3 linked regions of the Oryzias latipes genome follow. The protein of the gene in region 2 interacts with the protein of the main gene of each other region in a biochemical or structural test. Links are inferred from orthologs where the notes say so. Each region holds a gene or a part of one and is shown on either strand. Other genes may lie near its edges. The genes, in order: rnf40, wac and vcpip1.

The links.
Region 1: the proteins of wac (region 2) and rnf40 form a complex in vitro, tested with the Homo sapiens proteins (2 studies listed by BioGRID). The link is inferred for Oryzias latipes from reciprocal best matches to the Homo sapiens genes WAC and RNF40.
Region 3: the proteins of wac (region 2) and vcpip1 form a complex in vitro, tested with the Homo sapiens proteins (2 studies listed by BioGRID). The link is inferred for Oryzias latipes from reciprocal best matches to the Homo sapiens genes WAC and VCPIP1.

Annotation. Positions count from the first base shown.
Region 1 is NC_019877.2:9,330,601-9,334,797, reverse strand, and holds the start of rnf40 (E3 ubiquitin-protein ligase BRE1B), read right to left. Parts: upstream 2,801-4,197; 5' UTR 2,318-2,800; intron 2,264-2,317; exon of another isoform or gene 1,893-2,263; 5' UTR 1,885-1,892; coding exon 1,747-1,884; intron 1,647-1,746; coding exon 1,479-1,646; exon of another isoform or gene 1,295-1,478; coding exon 994-1,294; intron 762-993; coding exon 561-761; intron 395-560; exon of another isoform or gene 1-394. Other genes in the region: phkg2 (phosphorylase b kinase gamma catalytic chain, liver/testis isoform), read left to right, coding at 3,775-3,869, 3,972-4,147.
Region 2 is NC_019878.2:7,929,043-7,932,692, forward strand, and holds part of wac (WW domain-containing adapter protein with coiled-coil), read right to left. Parts: intron 2,526-3,650; coding exon 2,410-2,525; intron 2,291-2,409; coding exon 2,175-2,290; intron 1-2,174.
Region 3 is NC_019875.2:10,353,676-10,358,014, reverse strand, and holds the start of vcpip1 (deubiquitinating protein VCIP135), read left to right. Parts: upstream 1-1,518; 5' UTR 1,519-2,658; coding exon 2,659-4,339. UniProt on the Homo sapiens protein: Deubiquitinating enzyme involved in DNA repair and reassembly of the Golgi apparatus and the endoplasmic reticulum following mitosis. Necessary for VCP-mediated reassembly of Golgi stacks after mitosis.

The sequences.
Region 1 (4,197 bases), on a different chromosome or scaffold from region 2:
CTAAAGCAAATTAGGCTTAAAATCCTTTATGCTGCCCTGGATTTCCCTTTGTCCCACTAGATAATGTGTTATGAGGTATTTTATTTTACTTTGTAAAGTTTTCTCTGTGGATCATAATGACTTCCTGAAAACCTAAAATCTTCAAAATGCATTTAAAAGGGTTTTCTGAGTGGCACATTTCAAAAAGTGTTTTTAATTTGTTCTTGAATTTCTTTATGCTGGACTAATATTTGAACCACTTGACCTCTCAGTCAGCTTCTTTTTAGGTTAATTCTTGATTCAACAGGCCTGGCAGTAATCAGTGCCGGGTGTGGCTAATGAAATTGAACTCAGCTTTTATGATATGGAAATGCGAACAGGTTCTTCTTAACATGGGACATGACAGCTTATGAAGGTAATTTTGTTTCTTCAGCATTTCTGGAAGTTTTGCCAACAGAAAATTACTAACTTAATTATCAAAAATACAACTTTAATTACTTATAAAACCCAGGAAAATGCTAATTGCTATTTTGGAGCATAGTGTATGAATGTGTTTCTAATGAGGAGTTTTGAATTGTTACCTGCTTCCTGAGCTGCTCTGCACATGCTGTCAATGCGGCTGTGCAGTCTGTCGAAGACGCACACCAGCTGGGCGATGGCGTCTTTGCTGAACTGCATGCGGTCCTGGAGATGCAAGGCCAGTTCCTCCTCTGTACTTTGTTCGAGCACAGCCAAAAACCCCTTGGCATTTTCACTCAATGGAGGGGGAGGCGGTGCTGAGTCTGCAAAAAATAAAACCATTTAAGGATAGTCAAGGGACCAAAACAATGGGCTCCTGAATAATTCATCAATATGATCAAACTCAGAAGCTTTAAATTCTGTTCTAAAACATTTTTAAAAAATTTTAAAAAGACAAAATTTATACTCCTGGGACCATTTTGACAATTAAAGATATTGACTGACAATGAACAGCGTAAAATTAAAGTTTTAATGAACTTAGCCCAAAATGCTAACCTGTTTTTGATTCTGGTGCTGGCTCGGTCTGTGTCAATAACTCTTCTGACCCGGCAGGCGGTGGGGGCTGCTGTTCTTCCTGGGTTTTTTCCTGACGCTCCTCGACCTGCTGCTGGTCCATCTGCTCGCTTTCGCTCTGGATTTCAGGCACGGGTGGCGCTGGTCCTTCAGAGCGGGGCGAAGATAGTCTGACACCACTGTCATCAACTGCTGTGGCGTCAGCTACTGGTGCCATGGGAGGAGCCGGAGCAGGCTGTTCAGGCTCAATGCGTTTGCGAAGCAACCTTACGCTCTCTTCCAACTGTAAACCAGAGAAAACGTAGAAGAATCCACTGGATCAATTTAAGGACTATTACTGACAGTGGCATGTTGCTAAGAGCAGAGCTCACTAGTGAGTAATTCCAAAGGATTTAGCTTCTGTCTTAAGCTGGTTTTTGAATGCATTATTTACATTTAAAAGCTTAACACTGCAATAAATAAGGTACCTGTGACCAGTAGCGATTGACAATCAGAAGAGTGGTGTCATCAGTGGCTTGTCTCTTCTCTAACTTTTCAATCTTCTCTCGTAACTCATCCTCCATCGCTTGCCTCTGCTCCAGGCGCTCGCACAGCTTCTTATTTTTAAACTGGATAACCTTCATGTCCATTTCCTCCTGTACATAAGACAGATTTTAGTTTCAGTTTAAAAAAATGGCATAATTAAATCATGTGAAGATTTAAAATTCTAAACACCAAATACACCAAATGACAGACCGTAGAGGAGACTCCAGCAATACGTATTGGCTCAATAAGTGTGGTGGTGGTCTTCTCCTCTTTCTTGCTCTTTTTCTCAGGGGGACCAGGGGGGCTATCCCCTCCTGAGGGACGCTTCCCTCCCCCAGAACCAGACATGTCTGCTCCTGCATGAAATTGAACATAAACATATTTAGTACCAATCTGTCAGAAACCTACATCCTTTTCTCAGCAAATTATGACAACCGGTAAAAGATCACTTTCAAAGAAGGAAAACTGTCTTCCGACTAAGCTACAGAAACAATAACATTAGTATGCCTTCAAACTATCACAAAGTAAAAGCTACAATCAAAATTATATCGACCTCTCTTTTCAAATCAATGTATGTTTTCTAAGCTTGCCAACACTAGCTAAGCTAATGGTTAGCTAAGCTAAGCAGCGCTTCTTCTTTAGCTCATAAAATTACATTGTTTCGGCATTTTCAATTCACTGACCATTCCTACATAAGCTGTGCGTTTAAAATGTCACATTAACTTATATGCACATATTCACAAAGACACACAAATATCTTGGAAATGTTGACACAACAGACCTTAGCAAGAAACGTATCAGGAGGCGTCAGGAAATGCTGTTCTTCTTCGTTGAAACACAAAGACTTGTAGTACTATCGCCACCTAGTGTTCATTTTTTACTTAAAAAAACCCGAAACCCTCACATTGAGCTTCTTGCATCAGACAATATAAAAGCTAACCAAGTAGTTCAAATTGAATTTTTGTCCTCTAATATAGGATTAAGGGAATTAAAGCAGAACAACCAAAGTAACTAGTTGCAAGATTACCTAGATCATTAAAGCTTCTAACGTATAAACATTCATAGAGCTAACGTTGGGGAAACTACTGTCAATTATCTTGCAGGTTTTATTTAGTTAGCAAAAAAAGGCAATAAGGGATGTTTATATAGGAGGCTAATGTGACCATTCAGCTCTATTATTTAACCGTCCTAAACTTCGACATCAACTTAGTCGAAAGCTCAACAATGGTCAAAGCCAAAATCTCTGAAATCAATCCAGTAATTAATCAATTAATCAAAAGTATTTTTTTCACAGAAAAACTTTCAGATTAAGGAAGGAAAATTAATGTAAAAGTGATGCTGTTTGGCAAATTCATATGTAAATATGTGTCCATATGTTTAAATAAAGGTATAGATGACAACAAAGGGAGTGAAAATTACTTTTAAGTTACCAAGTAGAATTTGTGTTGTTGTTGTTTATGTTTACTATATTTCTTCTTCAAATTCGTGACTGAGTATGTTGTTTAATGCAAACAAAACTGTCCAATATTCTGTTATGTGCTCTTAATTTTTTAATCTGTCCTAAAAAAAAACTTTATTTTATTCAACTTTTTTTAAACCTGGAAACTCACACAAAGTGTAATATAAACCAGTGCAACATATTACTACATTCTTTTTTTAAACATACTTAAAAATGTAATAAATAAACATTTATTGTATGGTTATTGTTGTTGTGAATTCTGGACACAAACGTCCTGCGAGACTCCCGCCTCAAGGGGGCAGTGCCGCCACAGCATCAAACCGGTCTCAAACGATTTTGAAGGAATTTGACCAGAATGTAAACATTGCTCTAACCGGAGACAACTTCTTAAGCATATCTGGAGTGCCGTCACGACTCGGTAAAACCCAGTTATGGCTTCGACATAAATCCCCAGAGCGGAGGGTATCAGTTCGGCTGATATTCGCGGTCCTTTTCTTGCAGTTTTTGGGCACACTTGCTTGGTGAGTAGCTTCCTGGTCGGTCAGTGAACCTGCTCACAGGACAAGGCCAAATCAAAGACGCTCTACCCTGACTGACAAGTCCATGCTGTACATTGATATTATCACAACAAGTACATTTTTAAAATAGGTTTATGTCGAGCAATTGGGGTGTTTAAATGTTTACGAAGTCCCAACAAAACTTCCTTCCAAGAGTTAGCTAAAGTCGTCCCCGTCGGGTGCGCGTGTGAGTAAAATTTGATGCCGTTACACAGATCCATCATGACCAAGGACATCGTTGTTGGAGACGAGCTGCCAGACTGGGTGGGAGCGAAGGAATTTTACCAGAAATATGACCCGAAGGAGGTTATTGGCAGGTGAGCTGAAAGGAAAGAACAGGATGTTCTCTGACGCGCTCCGTCCCGCTTGCCGCTAATGATGGAGTCGTGGTGCGTTCACGTGCGTCTGTCCCCTCTCAGGGGGGTGAGCAGTGTGGTCCGCCGGTGTGTGCACAGGCACACGGGGCAGGAGCTGGCCGTGAAAATCATAGAGATCACCGCCGAGAAGATGACAGCCCAGCAGCTGGAGGAGGTGAAAAGCTCCACCCTGAAGGAGATCCACCTTCTCAACATGGTGAAGGGACACCCCTCCATCAGTAGGTTCCCTCCTGCAAAATGAGTCTTCTAGTTGTTGATTTTATAATAT
Region 2 (3,650 bases):
TTGTGTTGGGGGGGTTGGGGGATTATTCCTGTTCTCCTTCACTCTGTAATACCAAACACGAACTGTTAAATTTCGATGAATATCACTACATGTTTTGTTTGGGAACTATTTTGTGCAGCACAACGTTTCGTGTCTGTATAAACAAAACCCTAGCCTCCTGCCCTGCGTTCTTCATGGATGTCAGGCTTCATGGCTACCGGAAAGGTGACAAAGTGTCTGCAGTCTCGTTTATTACTGGGCAATATATAATATTCTGAGAAGATGTCTGTACCAGAGAGCACAGGTGAAGCCTCGCATGCAGCTCCAGAGCACTCCGCTGCAGAAGAATCAACACGCACCCCCCAACACACTTGTACGCGGTCCTTCCTCCACACGCAGCACGCTGACACAGACACGCATAGTCATTCTACAGCACCCATATGGTTAGTTCATTAGTTAGATAGGTATCAAAAATAAAAAATCCCACACTGTCACAGCTCTTTTCATTTATACGACAAGAAATCATTATGCAACCTGGCGCTCAGTGTCCACACACCACTAACCCTGCATGTAACCGGTAATCTCTCCTGCTACAACCTACACAGACAAACCAGCACCCACATCATGTGGATTCTCAGATCATAACACAATGAATGAGTTTTACAATAGAGACTGAGATCAAATGCGAAATCTCCGGAAAATTACCAACATGTATTAGCTAAGCAGTTTTCTGAATTTAAATTCTTTAACTGCAGAGAGTCTAGGTGGGAGAAATTACAATCCTTAGTAGAAAATAAATAAACAAAAACATAAAATGTACTGAAATTCAGAATTTCAGAACATATAAAGAGCAGACAAAAGGATTAAAATGAAAAGACAAACGTAGCTGCAGTACCAATTTGTTTTAAGTAGAAGTGCTTCATTTCACCTGTTGATAAAAACACCTGGAAAATGCTAAATGTACTACATACTAGTACCTACTCAATAACAACTAGAGGTACCAGAGGCTAAAAAGTAGTACTATGATGACTTCAATGTAACCAACATTGGAAAAGAGGAGCTAAAAGCATCTATTCTCCTAATTTTGTTGAGACTGGAGTTGGCAGGTTTGTTGGTGTGATCAGATGGTTTTGGATCTGAAACATTCACTACTGATACGTTTTTCTAGCCCAACAAAGAGCTAAAACTATGTTAACTGTAATCTGCCAGTTTCAGTTCTAATAAAATCACTTAAACATATCAGTCACAAAAGAATATAATATATTAGCTCACACTTGCATTTTGTCAAAATAATTTACCAAAACAAAAAAAACTTTTTTATTTGTGAGGTCGTCTGTGAAGTATAGTGGTCCCTCAATATCGCTGTCGATCTTTTGCTGTCTTAACATTTAAGTGCAATTTTGCATGCCTTTTGCTTTTTTTTTTACATTATGTTTCGTGTCCTGATTGGTTGTAAGGCATTCACAGTCAATCTCTGTGCCGTTTCTCTTGTATAGAAAGCCTTCAGCAGATCTTTGGTCTCATTCTACAATCCTGAACTTATTTTTCCTATGAAGGTTTGAACTTTGAGAGTTTAAACGAGAGAAAAGTGTAAAAATGTTCATGTCTGACTGAGAAAAGTGTATAGTGTGTAGTGAGGGGATTTAGCCTTAAATCATTGCACAAATATTAGATTTTGTCTATTATAAGTTATTTTTAGAACGCAGCTCCTGCACCAAAATGAGGGATTACTGTATATAAGTAATTTCAGTGCAATTCCATCAGATAAAACCTAGTTGTAAGGTAGGGGTGCGACAGATCATGGCTGAACCGTAAACCCCAAGGATCACTAGTTTTTAATTTCTTGTTTTCTGGAAGAGATTTGCAATCAGCCCATATTAACAGGTGCTTTAAATCAGGTAATTGATTTATAGACCTATAAGCACCAGAGGCACCACACAACTTGACAGCTAAATAATATCCAGTGACCTGTGAGAAATAATCTACAACTTTGTTATTCAGTGATGAGTAGAATGCTCTTTACACCGAAGACCTGTAATATGATCAAAACATTTGACATGCCTGACAAAATGTTTTATCTGCTAAGCATTAGCCATACTAGCTGCTAGGTTAAAACATAATTAACAGTCTGACCAATAAAACAAAGTAAGTGTGATTTAGTGAGATGAGTCAGAAAAGATCTGTGCAACACTTACTAGGACCAGTAAAGCCAGGGGCTGCTGTTGCTTGCATAGCCTCCCTTCTGTAGTCCCTGTCCTTTGGGAAATTGTTGACAACAGCAGTCTTTGTTGCCTCTTTTTGCCTTTGTTCTCTAAGCGGCAAATACAACAACACTGTTAGAGATCTGTGCTTAACAACACTTGTGCAAATGTACTTTAGTGTGCAAAGCCAAATACTGTTTCATTAGTGGAAAAAAAACCATAAAACTACCTCTCAAGCCATTCCTTGGGCTTCTCCCACTGGGAAACTTCTGTCCTACAGTTGTAATAATATTTCTTTCCAGAGGAACTGATGTGCTCTGACCAGTCATCAGCAGGCTCGAAAGGCTGAGTAGAAGAACACAAACTTAGAAACAAATGGCTTCCTGTCAGACAGACAGGTGTTTTGGTAGAGGTCTGATGCAATAGCCGGCAATCTGTTCTAAAATGCAAAGGAGGATGGGATGGAAGCAGAAGGGGAGAATTAGCTCTCCTATGACAGAAAAGTCCCCTTTAACCCTTCATCGTCAGTGTGAATTTACTTTACATCTACATTTAACATTTTAAAACTGAAGCATTTTTATGTTGTCATTAGTATGACGCTACATTCACACCGAAGGTGATTCATGTGTCAAATCTGTGTCAGGCGCATTTCTTTTGATGAGTGACAAATTTGCCACTGGACCCTTGCCAAAAACTGTGTTCATGAACGTGATGCTCCAGACGCATGTGGGAGGAGCTACTCTCCAAAGTTTTTAACTTCATCGCTACGTGAATGGGATATACATGTCTCTATATCCCATTTAGAGTGCATGGAAGACACGGATGATGTTGGGATCAGGTTCATTTATTTTCCAGATAAAAAAACATTGGTAATCATGTCTCCATTAGGTCATTCAGATTCTCCCAGTACATGAGCTTCCCCCCATCTACTGAAGGAGCGTCGTCTGAAAGACGGCGCTTTCAGCGGTACTTCTGTCTCTCGGTGACCCAGTGTGACGAATTGCTGCCTCACATTAGTCCGAGTAAGGAAAAAAGAAAAATAAGAATAAGAGAATTAGAAAATAAAAGTATGGAAAAAAATATGAAGCTCAGGAGGAGAACAATTCGATTCCCCTTCATGTTGGTTTTGTACTTCACCCCCTGATGACATCATCAAGAAGTCATGGGCAAAAGCTGAGTCCCTAATTGGTTGATGCGAGGCGTCTTTTTTGCCAAAGTATTTGAACTCTCGATGCAACGCCCAAATCATGTAGATGCCACACGCCTAATTGCGCTGCAGGACCTCTGACCACGTCCGTACATTAGTTTAAGATTAAAAATTGGATGCCCCTAACGCGTGAATCGCAGTCGGTGTGAACACAGCTGAAGAATAAACTGAAAGGAAGGAATGACCACCAATTATTTTAACGGAATGAATTAAAAAAAAAATTAACCAAAAGATTAAGACAGCATAAAATATTCAAATCTTGG
Region 3 (4,339 bases), on a different chromosome or scaffold from region 2:
TGTACAAATTGTTTTGAGAAATGCACACACGTATTTGCAAACTTTAATTCTGATCTGAGAATTGTACTAAAGCGACTGAGAAAAACTGTAACAGGAGGATCTTCAACTTGATCTAGAATCAACTGGGAGCCAATGGAGTGAAACTAACACAGGAGTGATGTGATCTCTTCTACTAGTTCCTGCTAACAATCTAGCTGCTGCATTCTGAACAAGCTGGAGACTTCTTAATACGAAGCACCTACCTTTTATAATTTCAGAGGGAGAATGACCCACGGACCGGTACCGGTCCGTGGGTCATTCTAGTCTAAAACTAGAAGTTAATCAGTAAAGGCCAAAGTTTGTTCCTCCACTCCCGAATAGGTTAATTAAATAGACAGCACTGACATCCTATGGTTAGTTGGTGGTACTACATGATATTCAAAATCAAATACAGGAATCAAAGAATGTTTGGATGGACATACTTAGGTTTTCTTTTGCCATTGTTAAGAATTGACTGGGTTGCCAAAACGGGAAAGACACATTTTTAAAAAATCATGACTTCAGGTATTTTCATTGAAAAGTTAAAAAACAGTTGTCCCAATCTGCATATAAGTGTAGTGGTTAGCATTCTCATCTTACAGTGAGAAGGCGCTGATCTGAATACCAGCTGGAACCTTTCTACACACATGGGTTTTCTCCTAGTACTCTGGCTTCCTCCAAACTCCAACAACATATCTTGTAGATTAATTGTGACTATATTTTCCCTTAAGTGTAAATAAAAGCGTGGTTGTTTCTCCTGTGTAAAGCTCGCTGATGGATTGATGAGGCAGGGTGTACCCTGTGACCCTAGCATAAGGCATATGTAAAATGGATGGATAGCCAAGGCTGTAGAAGATTTTGTCCTTAGTATAGAACACAGAAATATCTAAAGTAATTGCAAATTAAATGACTGTGGTAGCTTTGTATGAAAAAAAGGGACAGGGAGTATCTAAGCAGTGTGCTTTATGTAACTGCAGCCATCATTAAATATTCTGCATTCCGTCATCCCATCCAGCCTCTTCCTGCAAAATTTTGCCTGTGATGCTGCATTTGGCTGGCTATGCAGTTATTCACAGAGAGGGAGGTTCCAATTATTAACAGCGTTTACAATAACAAACAATATATTTTCGTGCTCAACCTATTTCATTTTCTATCTTCATCAGTTAGGGGGTGGGAGCTGTGAAAGGGGTGGGGTTGTGTGTAGGTATGGGGAGGGGGGCCCTATTTTTATTTTTGTGCTTGTTCTTATATTATTTATTTTTATGTAAAGCCCTTTGCGTTATGGTTTTATAGGAAAAGTGCTATATAAATAAAGTTTGATTGATTGGCTGACTAAAACTTTTAACTTTTGTTCACTTTCTTTACAATATTGGTCATTTAAGCTTTTTTTATCACTCTAGATTTGTTATATCTTTTCTCATTACATTGGAGAGATGGTTGCATACATACCATTCTTTCGGCTTGGATTTGTTTTTCACAAAAGGTTTGTAACTAAAAATCCTAACAGTGGGTTAAATCTGTTTTGGTACAAAATCCTTGTTTTCAATTAAAATGTTTATATATCCGATTATAACTTAAAATACAATTTAAAAAAGGTGTATTTTTGTACGGGCAGTTTTCTATGACTTGCCATAAATATTATGACCACAAGAGGGCGGCAACGAGCTTTACATTAATAATTATGGTCAAGAACTACACGCGATACCACACACACGAACTAAATTACTAACCTGCTGTTTGTGTTTGTATCACAGCGGGTTTTGTAAGCGGCCTGAACATGGTTTAAATTACAGAATTATTACGCGTCCAATAATATTAGAAATTTAGCTCATGTCTTGGATATACTACTGTATACGCGTTGTTGTCACATCTATTTAAAAAAATTCTATCACTTAAGTATTAATTTGGTGGATTTCTTTACTTGGATTAAAACATTTTTGGAGCTAAGCTCGATTTGACAACATGTTTGGTGGCTCATTCCACGTCGTTCCGTACACCACCTGGCTGGGTTATTACCTACCTAGCACAGTGCTAGGCTAAAAACAAAGCTCCGTACTTTAATTAATGGCATTAAACATGGAAGGTTTTCTGCCTCCAGTGACAGAGACAAACCCACAACCTGAAAAATTGTCTGGGCTTCGACTATAACTATTTTTGGATGGTTTAAAATATTTAATATAACTCTATCGGCGATTACCAATAGAATTCTGACAGACTTCCTTTCACAACAAAACAGCCGCCTTACGCGTTGCATTCTGGTAAATGGTGTAATAATCTGTAGATCTGACTAATTCATTTGGTTACCTGTCAGCCTGAGTCGTGATTTTTTACCTTTTCTTTGTAATATAATAATATTAATACATATTTACTTTTTAAAAACAAAATATTTACCTTTTAATTAGGTATGACATTTGGGAAAAATAAGAATTGGACTACAAGTCCCACAAGCCACCGTCTGACGTCCTCACGTTTTGCAACAGACCGTTGCTATAAGGAAAAAACAGCCGCTTCCGTGTTGTTCTGGTGCTATTCTAGCAAACAGCAGCGTTAGCGGCGACAAACCTCTTCTGTCCGCCTCTGGGGTGAGATTAACATGCTTTTGTAAAGTTGGAAGGAGGTTTAAGCTTTTTACCAAACGCAATGTCGCTTCTGCCAGCCTCAAAGAAAAAAGACAAGCGAATCTTGTCCGGTACCTGCCCGGACCCGAAATGTCAGGCGCGGCTGTTCTTCCCCGCTTTCGGTTCTGTTAGCATTGAGTGCACGGAGTGCGGCCAGCGGCACGAGCAGAAGAGCCTGCTGAACGTGGAGGAGGTGACCGATCCAGATGTCGTGCTGCACAATCTGCTCAGAAACGCCCTGCTCGGCGTCACCGGGGCCCCGAAGAAGGGGACCGAGCTGGTGAAGGTGATGGGGCTCTCCAACTATCACTGCAAGCTCCTGTCCCCGGTCCTCACCAGGTACGGGATGGACAAGCAGACCGGCAAAGCCCAGCTGCTCAGAGAGATGAACCAGGGGGAGATGTTCGACTGCTCCCTGCTGGGGGACAGAGCCTTCCTGATCGAGCCGGAGCATGTGGCCACCATGGGCTACGGGAAGGACCGGTCCGGGAGCCTCATCTACCTGCACGACACTCTGGAGGAGGTGAAGAAGGCAAACGGCAGCAGGGAGTGTCTGATCCCGGTGCACGTGGATGGAGACGGCCACTGCCTGGTCCACGCTGTGTCCAGAGCGCTGGTAGGCAGAGAACTGTTCTGGCATGCTCTGAGAGAGAACCTCAAGCAGAACTTCAAACAGAACCTGGGTCGCTACAAAGCCTTATTTCAGGATTTTATTGATGCTGCAGAGTGGGAGGACATCATCAATGAGTGCGACCCGCTTTTCATCCCCCCTGAAGGAGTGCCTCTGGGCCTGCGCAACATCCACATATTTGGTTTAGCTAACGTCCTCCATCGGCCCATAATCCTTTTGGACTCTCTGGTTGGGATGAGGAGCTCCGGAGACTATTCCGCCACCTTCCTGCCCGGGTTGGTACCGGAGGAGCAGTGCAGGGGGAAGGACGGGAAGCCCAACAAACCCATATGCATTGCCTGGAGCAGCTCCAGCCGGAACCACTACATCCCTCTGGTGGGAATCAAGAACACGGTGCTACCCAAACTGCCTGCTCACCTGCTGCCGAAGGCCTGGGGCGTCCCTCAGGAACTCATCAAAAAGTACATCCGTCTGGAGCCCGACGGGAGCTGTGTGATCGGCGGCGACCGCAGCCTGCAGGACAAATACCTGATGAGGCTGGTCAACGCCATGGAGGAGGTGTTCATGGAGAAGCACAACATCCACCCGTCCCTGGTGGCTGACGTGCACCAGTATGTCTACAGAAGGACCGGGGTGATCGGCGTCCAGCCTGAGGAAGTGACGGAAGCAGCCAAAAAGTCAGTGTTGGAGTATCGGTTGCACCGCTGTCTGATCTGCGGCGCCCTCTCTGAGCTCCACGTCCCGTCGGAGTGGCTCGTTCCCGGCGGGAAGCTCTACAACCTCGCCAAGTCCACGCACGGTCAGCTGCGGCCCGACAAGAACTACAGCTTTCCTCTGAACAACATAGTCTGCTCCTACGACCCCCAGAGGGACGCCCTGATCCCAGACTACAAGCTGAGTGGCCTCAACACCTGCAACTGGTGTCACGGCACCTCGGTGCGCCACATCCGTGGAAACGGATCTGTGGTTTACCTAGACGGGGACAGGACGAACACCCGCTCCCAGGGTGGGAAATGTGGGTGTGGCTTCAAACATTACTGGGAGGGGAAGGAGTACGAAAATCTGCCAGAAG